Macaca fascicularis: one gene and its partner. The protein of the gene in region 2 interacts with the protein of the main gene of each other region in a pairwise test. Links are inferred from orthologs where the notes say so. Each region holds a gene or a part of one and is shown on either strand. Other genes may lie near its edges.

Region 1 (4,511 bases), on a different chromosome or scaffold from region 2:
GCTTTCTTTTCTGTAACCATTTAAAGAAATACAAAGTAATTCTACAGGTAATTCCTTGGTGGGCTTATTTGGTAATTTTTTTCTTTCTTTTCCATTTTTCTCTTACTCTTTGGTTTGTAGGAGAACCCCTTTATTCCCAGGAGGCAATTTTGAGTCCCAACATGTCCTGCATCATCTCCTGTGCCCACTGCCAAAGGAAGGCTACCAGAGCGTGGGTTTCAGCACAGCTCTGATTGGATGATAAGCAAGGAGAGTAATATGCTGCTAGGGGGTTAGAGAAAAAAAAAAAAAAAAAAAACTAGAATACCAGAATGTAGTATTTCAAATTTCCTCCCTCCAAATCAAAAGCCTTGTGAATGAAATTATGACCATCATTCAAGTGTAATTATACTGAGTATGTAAAATGGAAACACTGAAAGTAAATCATACATTTGGATATTACATTTCATATGTGAGAACATTCCAGAAACATTTTATGATTGTTGAGTGTAATGTCAGGAGACAAACTTCTACAAATTTTATACATAAATTTTTCCATTTTCTCTGTTTCCCATTTATGTCAAGTTGAACACATGGTATGACTTTTAATATTCTCTCTTCCTTCTCCTTCCCCACATTGAATGTCAAGTGATCACACTCAATCTTGATTATCCTAAATTTACCCTTAGGCTCTATCACCCCATTGTGTGTTGCAGCCAGAACAAGAGGGTTTTTAAATTAATATCAAAAGGAGAGGCCAGGCTTGGTGGCTCATGCTTATAATTCCAGCACTTTGGAAGGCTGGGGCAGGAAGATCCCTTGAGCCCAGGAGTTTCAGACCAGCCTGGGCAACATAGTGAGATTTTGTCTCTACAAAAAAAAAAAAAGATTTTTTTTAATTTAGCAGGGTGTAGTGGCATGCCCTGTAGTCTCAGCTACTATGGAGGCTGAGGTGGGAGGATCACTTGATCCTGGAAGGTGGAGGCTGCAGTAAGCCGAGTGGCACCAGTACACTCCTGTCAAAAGAGAGAGAGAGACAGAGGCTCTAAATAAACCTATAAAACTATAAAACTGGGGTCTTATGGATGCTAGCAAATATCTTGGAAAGAACTGCCAGCTCCAGTCAATTACGGAAGACCACGGCGGCTACAAGCTGTTTTCCAGCTCAGGCGTCAACTCGTGGAAACTGGGTAATACCGAGGGAACTGCGGATTCTCGCGTGAACAGGATCTCGCAGATGTGGGGGCGTAGGAAGAGTCTCCTCAGGCCCGCTCCAACCCCCAACGGACTTAGGGGTTGGCGGTGAACTACGGGTGGCCCCGCGCCGCGCCAGCTGGGGGCGCCGGAGCGCGAGCGCGGGGCGGCGCCGTTGGGATCACAGCCGAGGCGGGAGAATGGCTTCCAGCTTCAAGAAGCCCAGCGCCGCCCCCACCAGCCAAAAGAGAAAGTTGGCGCCTAAGCCCGAGCTCACTGAAGATCAGAAGCAAGAAGTTCGGGAAGCGTTTGACCTCTTTGACGCGGACGGAAGCGGGACCATCGACGTGAAGGAGCTGAAGGTGGCCATGAGAGCTCTGGGCTTCGAACCCAGGAAGGAAGAGATGAAGAAGATGATCTCCGAGGTGGACAAGGAAGGCACGGGGAAGATCAGCTTCAATGACTTCCTGGCCGTGATGACTCAGAAGATGTCCGAGAAGGACACCAAAGAAGAAATCCTGAAGGCCTTCAGGCTCTTTGATGACGATGAGACCGGGAAGATCTCGTTCAAAAACCTGAAGCGCGTGGCCAACGAGCTGGGGGAAAACCTCACGGATGAGGAGCTGCAGGAGATGATCGACGAAGCTGATCGGGACGGGGACGGCGAAGTGAATGAGGAGGAGTTCCTTCGGATCATGAAGAAGACCAACCTTTACTGAAGTCGGTTCAGAAGCTAAAGTGACTCTCTGGGTTCCCCGCTTCCATTTTGTGAAACCTTAGAGGACCGCGGTTGCCTGTCCCTTCTTCACCCCCTCACCCCCATAATTTGTCTAGATCTATTTCCATATCTCTAGTTCAATTATAGAATTTGAAAGATGCTTGTAATGTGAGTTTTGGTTTTTAATTCTCAAGAGCCTACCTGGAGCACATAAGGTTAAACAAAGGGCCCTGAAGTTTGAGTGCGCCCTCCATTTGCCCTGTGCTGAACTTGCAGAGACATCCGTTGAGCTGGAGGCAGGACAACTTCTGGGACACACAAAAATGTGATTCCCTTTGTCACTTCTTTGGTGGTCTTAAATTATCTTGCTTCATATATCATTCCTTAAATTCCAGTCATTGTTCCAGCATAATGAGATGGAATCTGCCAGTAGATTTGCCTAGCCTGTCCACTTAGCTGAATACCAGTTTGAAGGAAAACAGAGTGGCCACTTACAAACTTACTGAGCTCAGGACAGATAATCTTTTAAAGAATAGGCTTGCTTGGGTGGTAGTACGTTGTGCAATTTAGACTATTCACTGGCTTCATACGTGCAAATGATTCTTCGTTTGTGTGTAAATTGTCCACCGTGCATTTATCTAGGGCTAGTATGTATACCTGGGCTACAGAATAAAAATAAAATCTAATACTGGCCCAAGCAAAGTATAATTTGCTTAAGAGGTTATGCTAACAAATGATTTTGAGTAAATATCTACAAATGTAGGATCTTAGTTTAGGAAATTGTAGGGAATACCTTAATATAACATTTTAAGCTACTTACAGTCCTTGGAAATATCAACAAATATCTTAGATATCAGACTATTAAAACCTTAGTCATCTCATTACTGCTTGATTATAAGACACTTTCTCCCCGCCAATCCTTAGAACATCTTGTTTCTTGGTACTTGACTTTTAGCCCCTCTGACATATAGTTGATGTTAGAGTGTCTGGCGTTTAAGTAGTGCTCTACTTTACAAATCCCAGTAAACTGTTCCACTGTGGCTTGTTTATGTGTTAATACTGCTTGTTTTCTGTTATAAATTCTTTCTTGCTTTGGAGTAAGATAGCTATCATTTTGAATATCTACAAATCTGAAGGTAAAGAAAAATTTTTAAATGTAATTGTGGGAAAATAAATAGATCTGCTGAGATGGAGGCTTTGACTAGTGTTTTAATAATAGGCAACAAAACAAAAAGGCAGGATATTTTGGTCACAACTAAACCTAAATTAAATCCTCATACAAAGCCCCATTAAGATAAATGCTCAAATTCTGGGAACATTTCACTTGCTTTGCCAGCAATTTTACCCTTCAGAGGGTGTGGATCTAATCAGGGGAACAAACTACCCTGGACTTAATTCTCATTAACAGGGACTAATTTGTCAAAGGGGCAGTACTAGCTGAAGTGATGGGTATGGAAGTATTCACTGTGAGGATTTTGCTGAGGTGCCTGGCACAGGGCAGGGGAACTCACCCAGGCTGCAAGATGCTAATGGTTCAGGTTCAAGGTCTTAGTGTGGACTCAGGTGCAGTCAGGATGGGAACAGGTACAACTTGGGCCAACATCAGTATGAAGGGCCTGATCTGAGGGCGGGGGGAGGAAGGGGTATTCTGGGAAGCATGAGTTCCTGGTATCCTGTTGACCAGAGTCTTGGCCCAAGGATCAACGTATGAATTAAAAGTAGAAATACCAGAAACAAAGAAAGTTGGCAGAAACTAGGAGAAGCAGAGTCTCAGCCAACTGGACTGGGCTCAGTCTTGGCTACTGGCCCAGCAGATGATAGAAGAGAAAACCAGGAACCCAGGCTGAAGCCCAGCGGTCGGGCTGGCCACACACCTCAGGCCTTACAGGGGTGGCCTGAGGGCATGGTCCATTCCAAACAAGGAAAGGGGGCTCCAGAATATTTCTGAATCCCACTCACTGCCAGGGAAGAACCTCTCAATTCACTGAATAGTGCATTCTCCTGCCTCTCAATAGGCTCATACTCTAGAGAATATGGGGACAAGGGGAGGAGGGTCTACTGGAACAAGCCTAAACTGGCATTTAAATTTTAAGATAAGTTAATCATACATTGGCTGGGCCAGCCATGTCTCTTAGTCTTTACAAAAGTAGAACACAAAAAAATTCAATGGAAATCTGCAGACAACTATTTGCAGATGAGGAAACACGGCTATAAAGATTGGGAAGAACTGGCCAGGTGCAGTGGCTCACGCCTGTAATCCCAGCACTGTGGGAGGCCAAGGCAGGTGGATCACTTGAGATCAGGAGTTGGAGACCAGCCCGGGTAACATCGTAAAACCCTGTTTCTACTCAAATTACAAAAATTAGCAGGGCGTGGTGGTGCCCTCCTGTAATCCCAGCTACGTGGGAGGCTGAGGCAGGACAATGGCTTGAACCTGGTGATCAGAGGTTGCAGTGAGCCAAAATCATGCCACTGTACTCCAGCCTGGTTGACAGAGCAAGACTCTTTCAAAAAAAAAAAAAAAAAAAAAGAGAGAGAGAGAGATTGGCTGGTCCCAAGGCATTCCAAATTGGGACGAGGAATTTGGGCCTTTAAAACTTCTCATTGACTGTCAGTCACT
Region 2 (5,156 bases):
AGTCTTCTATGAACTTTCAGAGTCTGTCCAACTTATGAAACATGAAACCTAAGATAATCCTAAAATAAATCCTCCGTCATCTCCATGTGTCTCTCTGGACTTGGTGCTTCTATCTCCAGCATTCCACCTCGCTAAGGTCCCACTTCACCTGAAGTTCAGTTCAAATCAATCCAGCTTGTCTTCATTTAATCATCTAGTGACCAGCTAGTACTCAGGAAAAAAGGATTTAAAATCATTCCACGTACTTTTGTTTTTGCTAATACTTAGTAAGTACATAGGAATGTTGTCCAATGCTGAGAATTCATAGAGGGCATTCTCTCTCTCTTTTTTTTTTTCTCTGCCACAATATTTTTAATTACGTACAAAGGTCTGACATGTCACCCAGGGACCCATTTCACCCACTGCTCTGTTTGGCTGCCAGTCTTTTGTCTCTCCCTTCAGCAATGGTGAGGCGGATACCCTTTCCTCGGGGAAGAGAAATCCATGGTTTGTTGCCCTTGCCAATAACAAAAATGTTGGAAAGTCGAGTGGCAAAGCTGTTGCCATTGGCATCTTTCATGTGAACAACGTCAAAAGATCCAGGGTGCCTCTCTCTGTTGGTGGTCACACCAGTTCTTCCCAGGTTAGCACCTCCAGTCACCATACACAGGTTACCAGTGTCGAACTTGACGAAATCAGTAATCTTGCCAGCCTCCAAATCAATCTGAATGGTATCATTCACCTTGATGAGGGGATCGGGGTAGCGGATGGTGCAGGCATCATGAGTCACCAGATGAGGGATTCCTTTTGTGCCCACAAAGATCTTTCTCACTCTGCATAACTTGTACTTGGCCTCCTCAGGTGTAATACGATGTACAGCAAAGCGACCCTTGGTGTCAGATCAGACAGAAATTCTCTCCCGTCTTGTCAATGCTGATGACATCCATGAATCCAGCAGGCTGGGTTATATCAGTTCGGACCTTGCCATTGATCTTAATGAACCGCTGCATGCAAATCTTTTTTACTTCATCTCCTGTCAGGGCATACTTAAGTCTGTTCCTTAGGAAAATGATGAGGGGGAGACACTCAACTTGTGGGGACCGGTGGATGGACGAGGAGCAAACACACCACTCAATTTATCCAGTATCCAATGCTTTGGAGCTGCTACCCGCTTCAGATGCTTCTTGGGACCACGAGCCATGGCTGCGTTAGGCAAGGAAAGAGTGGGCATTCTCTTTTAAAATCAGTCCCTGAAATTAGCTGGCTGTGGTGGCGGGCACCTGTAATCCCACCCACTCGGGAGGCTGAGGCAGGAGAATTGTTTGAACCAGTGAGTGAAAAATTTTTGTCTCTTTTTAAACGGATAATAAATCCTTTACATATTTTACTCTTTTGACCACAAACACACTGGATTACTTTTAGTATTTTATAATTTTTACAGTTTGGAAGAAACGATGTTTCTGAAATTAATTTCCCAACAGCAGAAAGGTAGATTTATAGCAGGTTGGAGAAATACAAGTATAAAAACAAACAAACAAACAAAAAAACTGTATCAGGAAAAGGCAGAACAAGTACCAGTCATCATAAATTCTTATCTTCTCAACATGTTATGTAAGTGTTTACTAGTCTGTGAACTCTCAGGAAAAAGACTTTTTGACAAAAGGTCATCAAATGTGGACTCACCACTGTGACTGGATGATGTTTTTCCACAACAACTGAGCTCATGGGAGGAGAAACTCCCATTATAGCTAAACCGCTGCTAATTCTATTTTTTGAAGCAAAATCACATCTTCCTGTGATCCGGGCTGTAATAGTTCTTCCTGCTTTCTGTTGTGCAGAGGTTACAACTCTTGGCACATACTAAGAAGAAAAAAAAAAAATAAAAGAAGTAATGAGGTGGCAGAAAATCCACAGCAAAACTTCTATTAATTTGATTCCATAAATTACGAAGAAAACACACAGGCACTTAAAATAATTGTACGTTCAACCAACTTTAACATGGAAAAAATCAAACAAAATCACAAGACAAAATGCAAAGCACAAAACCGAACACCCCAAAATATCCCTTTAACCTGAGTATGCCAACAATTTTATAAGATTTTAGAAACTTAAAACATCAACTTTTTATTTTGAAATAATGATAGATTTACAGGAAGACACAGGGATCATATTGAAAAGTACTGTGTGCTCTTTACCCAGTTTCTTGCCATGGTTACATCTGACATAATCAGAATATAACAAAGTCAAAACCAGGAAGCTCAACATGACATAATGCCTGTATATAGATCTCTGTCATTTTATCACCTAAGTTCCCATTAACTATCACTCAATCAAGATACAGAATACTCATCACCACGAAGATCTCCCTCGGGCCACTCTTGACAGTCATACCCATCTCTCCGTTCCTTCCCCAACCATCCTTAAGCCCCGGCAACCATTAATCTGTTTTATGGACTTTTTCATCCTTAAGCATAATTAATATTATCATTACACATATGTTTCTGTGTTCTGCCTTTTTTCCATCTCATTTTATCAATATATTTTTTTCATGAGGTAATACAGAGACCTGCTATAGTTCTTAATGAGATGGTTTTTATACCAACGAACTACTTTGTCTTTCTTTTTCTATTACATTTAGCACATTTTGCAAAAGAAAAATCCTCTTTTTAGTTACTTCTGTATAATATATTGCAAACAATGGAACGATCATATCAAAAAGTATTATCAGCTTTTATAGCTTTTGTTGCTTACTGCTGGATGATACTCCAGAAAAATATTTACAGCAAGAATAACACATAAGTGGACTATTTTTGCACTGTCAATCAATTACACACCTGCTCGTTTAAGTCTGAGGTGAAATCTACTATTCAATTTGTGGTTCCTTATTAATGTTTCATATTTGTATTCCATTTTGTCAACTATCCATCTTATTTGCTAAGAATTGAAAGGATATTAATATTTAAATTTTTAAAAATAGTTCCTGATGAATAGTAAACTCATTTAATAATTATAGATACTTATCTAAAAGTGTAAACAATTTCCTCATTTCATTTATTTGTCTTAATCTTCAATGCACATCCATTTTTTTAAGTTGTGGTTAATCCTGTCATTAATTTCCTCTTGCTTCCATGATGAAACCAAAATCAGCTTTGGACAGCTGAGGTAGTTATACTCTCACAACATTTACTTATTTTGGCTTAACTTATTAAAACATTTGAAATTTCAGTGTGAAGTATTAATCTAAATTCATTTTTTCTCTAAACAGTTTTTCCAAAGGCATTTATTAAGTATCAATGTTTTCCCGATTATTATAGTTCATCTGTGATTCTCCATATTCTGTGTGTAGCTAGATTCTGCACCTAGCTACACATAGTCACAGCTATACATTGAAATGGGAAGAGAGTGGGCTTCAGGAGAGATGTCTCGGGGATAATTAAAAAGACGGAGTATTGATGTTTTTGGAAGACCCTACGGAAAACAGCATTCAGTAGGGTTCCGTAATCCCTGGAGAGTTCGGAAATAATTCACTACAGTTGGAGAGAAAACCGAAGATAAAAATGAAGCAATTAATTCTAAAACAAAACATTATACCAGAAAGGAAATGTAGTCATAGTATACATTCATGGCTTAGCTATATTAGTCATCATAAATGATTTAATCTGAAATTGGAATATCTGTAACTAAATATTTACATACAGGGAGGATGAGGAAAGTGAAGAGAGAGAGAAGGAATAAGGTGGCATAAGGAGGCCAAGTCCTTTTTATCTGTAATAAGTTAACAGATATTTGAAATTAAGAAATGTAGAAATAATGATATAGACATATTATTTAGGAAAAAATGGAAACAGAAGAAATAGCTGACAGAGTTAGGGAGAGGGATTTAGAAGACTGTTTCTCACTACAGTCCTTGTAAAAATGATTTGGCTTTTTAAACCATAAACTTCTATGGATCTTATGAATTTGATAAACTAAAAATCTCAGATTTAAAAATATTTACAAATATGTTTTTGTGGACTAAATTCATGCTTCTGGCCTGAGGGGAACTTTATCTTATTACTTATTACAATAAGGGACAAAAAATATTTTACAAACTCCTAAAGATGCTTAAATGCTATTTTAAAATACAAAACTAATTGCTGGCAGGAATATTCTTTGCCAAAATGTGGAAAATGAAGTACAACTGAGTTTGTAACTTTCCTCCTGCCCAATCACACTTGAGGGGTGTCCTCTCAGTAGCCGTGATTCTCTCCTGGAGCTTCAGGTGTGAATGAAAGACTAGAGAAATCGGGACTAAAGAAAATTAGAGTAGTGGGAAAATTGCTCATAGATGATAAATTTCATTCAACTCAGCTCAGAATTGCTTTAGAATGCCTTCAGTAATTTGAAAATATATACTCCTGTAAATAAAATGACTTCTAAAAGAAATCTCTACGCGCTCATTTGAATTAAACAGAAGTTGTCTTAAATGCATGTTTACTGTCGGCTGCTTGTTTTCAGATGGTTTGCCATTTGTACTTGTTAATGTTTATTTAAGGTATTAAAAATTGTGTAAATTGATAAAAAAGTTTTGAAAATGTATAAGAACATTTTAGAAATAATTCATAAAGATAAATTATTAGAAAAAAGTTGCTACTAAATCAGGGGGAGGAAAGAAAAACCTAGAAGGATTCTATAATCAGATTGTTCGGGAAGTTTTGTTAGGTTCATGCTTTACAGAAACTGTAACTGGAGAACACAGAAAATATATTGGGTGTAGTTTATATTAAAAAAAAGATGAAAATTACAATCTTTGACCCCCACATTCAATCTGGCTCCACATTAAAAACTAGTAAATTAATACATATTTATGTTTTAAGATACAATAATGTATTAGATATGTATCATTCTCTGCAAATTAAATGACCGCTTACTGGTACCAATCATGTTGGAGTTCATTAAATTTATCAGCCGACTTTAAAAAATGCTATAAAAATAAAAATTCTAGCATTTTAAGCCACATCAACATAAGCAACAAAATTGAAAGGAGTAAGAAAAAAAGAAAATGACAGGCCAGGCGCAGTGACTCACGCCTGTAATGCCAGTACTTTGGGAGGCTGAGGCGGGCGGATCACGAGGTCAGGAGATCGAGACCATCTTGGCTAACACGGTGAAACCCCGTATCTACTAAAAATACAAAC

What was found.
Region 1: the proteins of POC5 (region 2) and CETN1 interact in binary tests that used the Homo sapiens proteins (3 or more experiments, as listed by UniProt). The link is inferred for Macaca fascicularis from reciprocal best matches to the Homo sapiens genes POC5 and CETN1.

Annotation. Positions count from the first base shown.
Region 1 is NC_088392.1:69,236,582-69,241,092, forward strand, and holds CETN1 (centrin-1), read left to right. Parts: upstream 1-1,206; 5' UTR 1,207-1,373; coding exon 1,374-1,892; 3' UTR 1,893-3,080; downstream 3,081-4,511. UniProt on the Homo sapiens protein: Plays a fundamental role in microtubule-organizing center structure and function. Plays a role in sperm cilia formation.
Region 2 is NC_088380.1:79,687,825-79,692,980, forward strand, and holds part of POC5 (centrosomal protein POC5), read right to left. Parts: intron 1,840-5,156; coding exon 1,663-1,839; intron 1,183-1,662; coding exon of another isoform or gene 1,153-1,182; exon of another isoform or gene 1-1,152. UniProt on the Homo sapiens protein: Essential for the assembly of the distal half of centrioles, required for centriole elongation. Acts as a negative regulator of centriole elongation.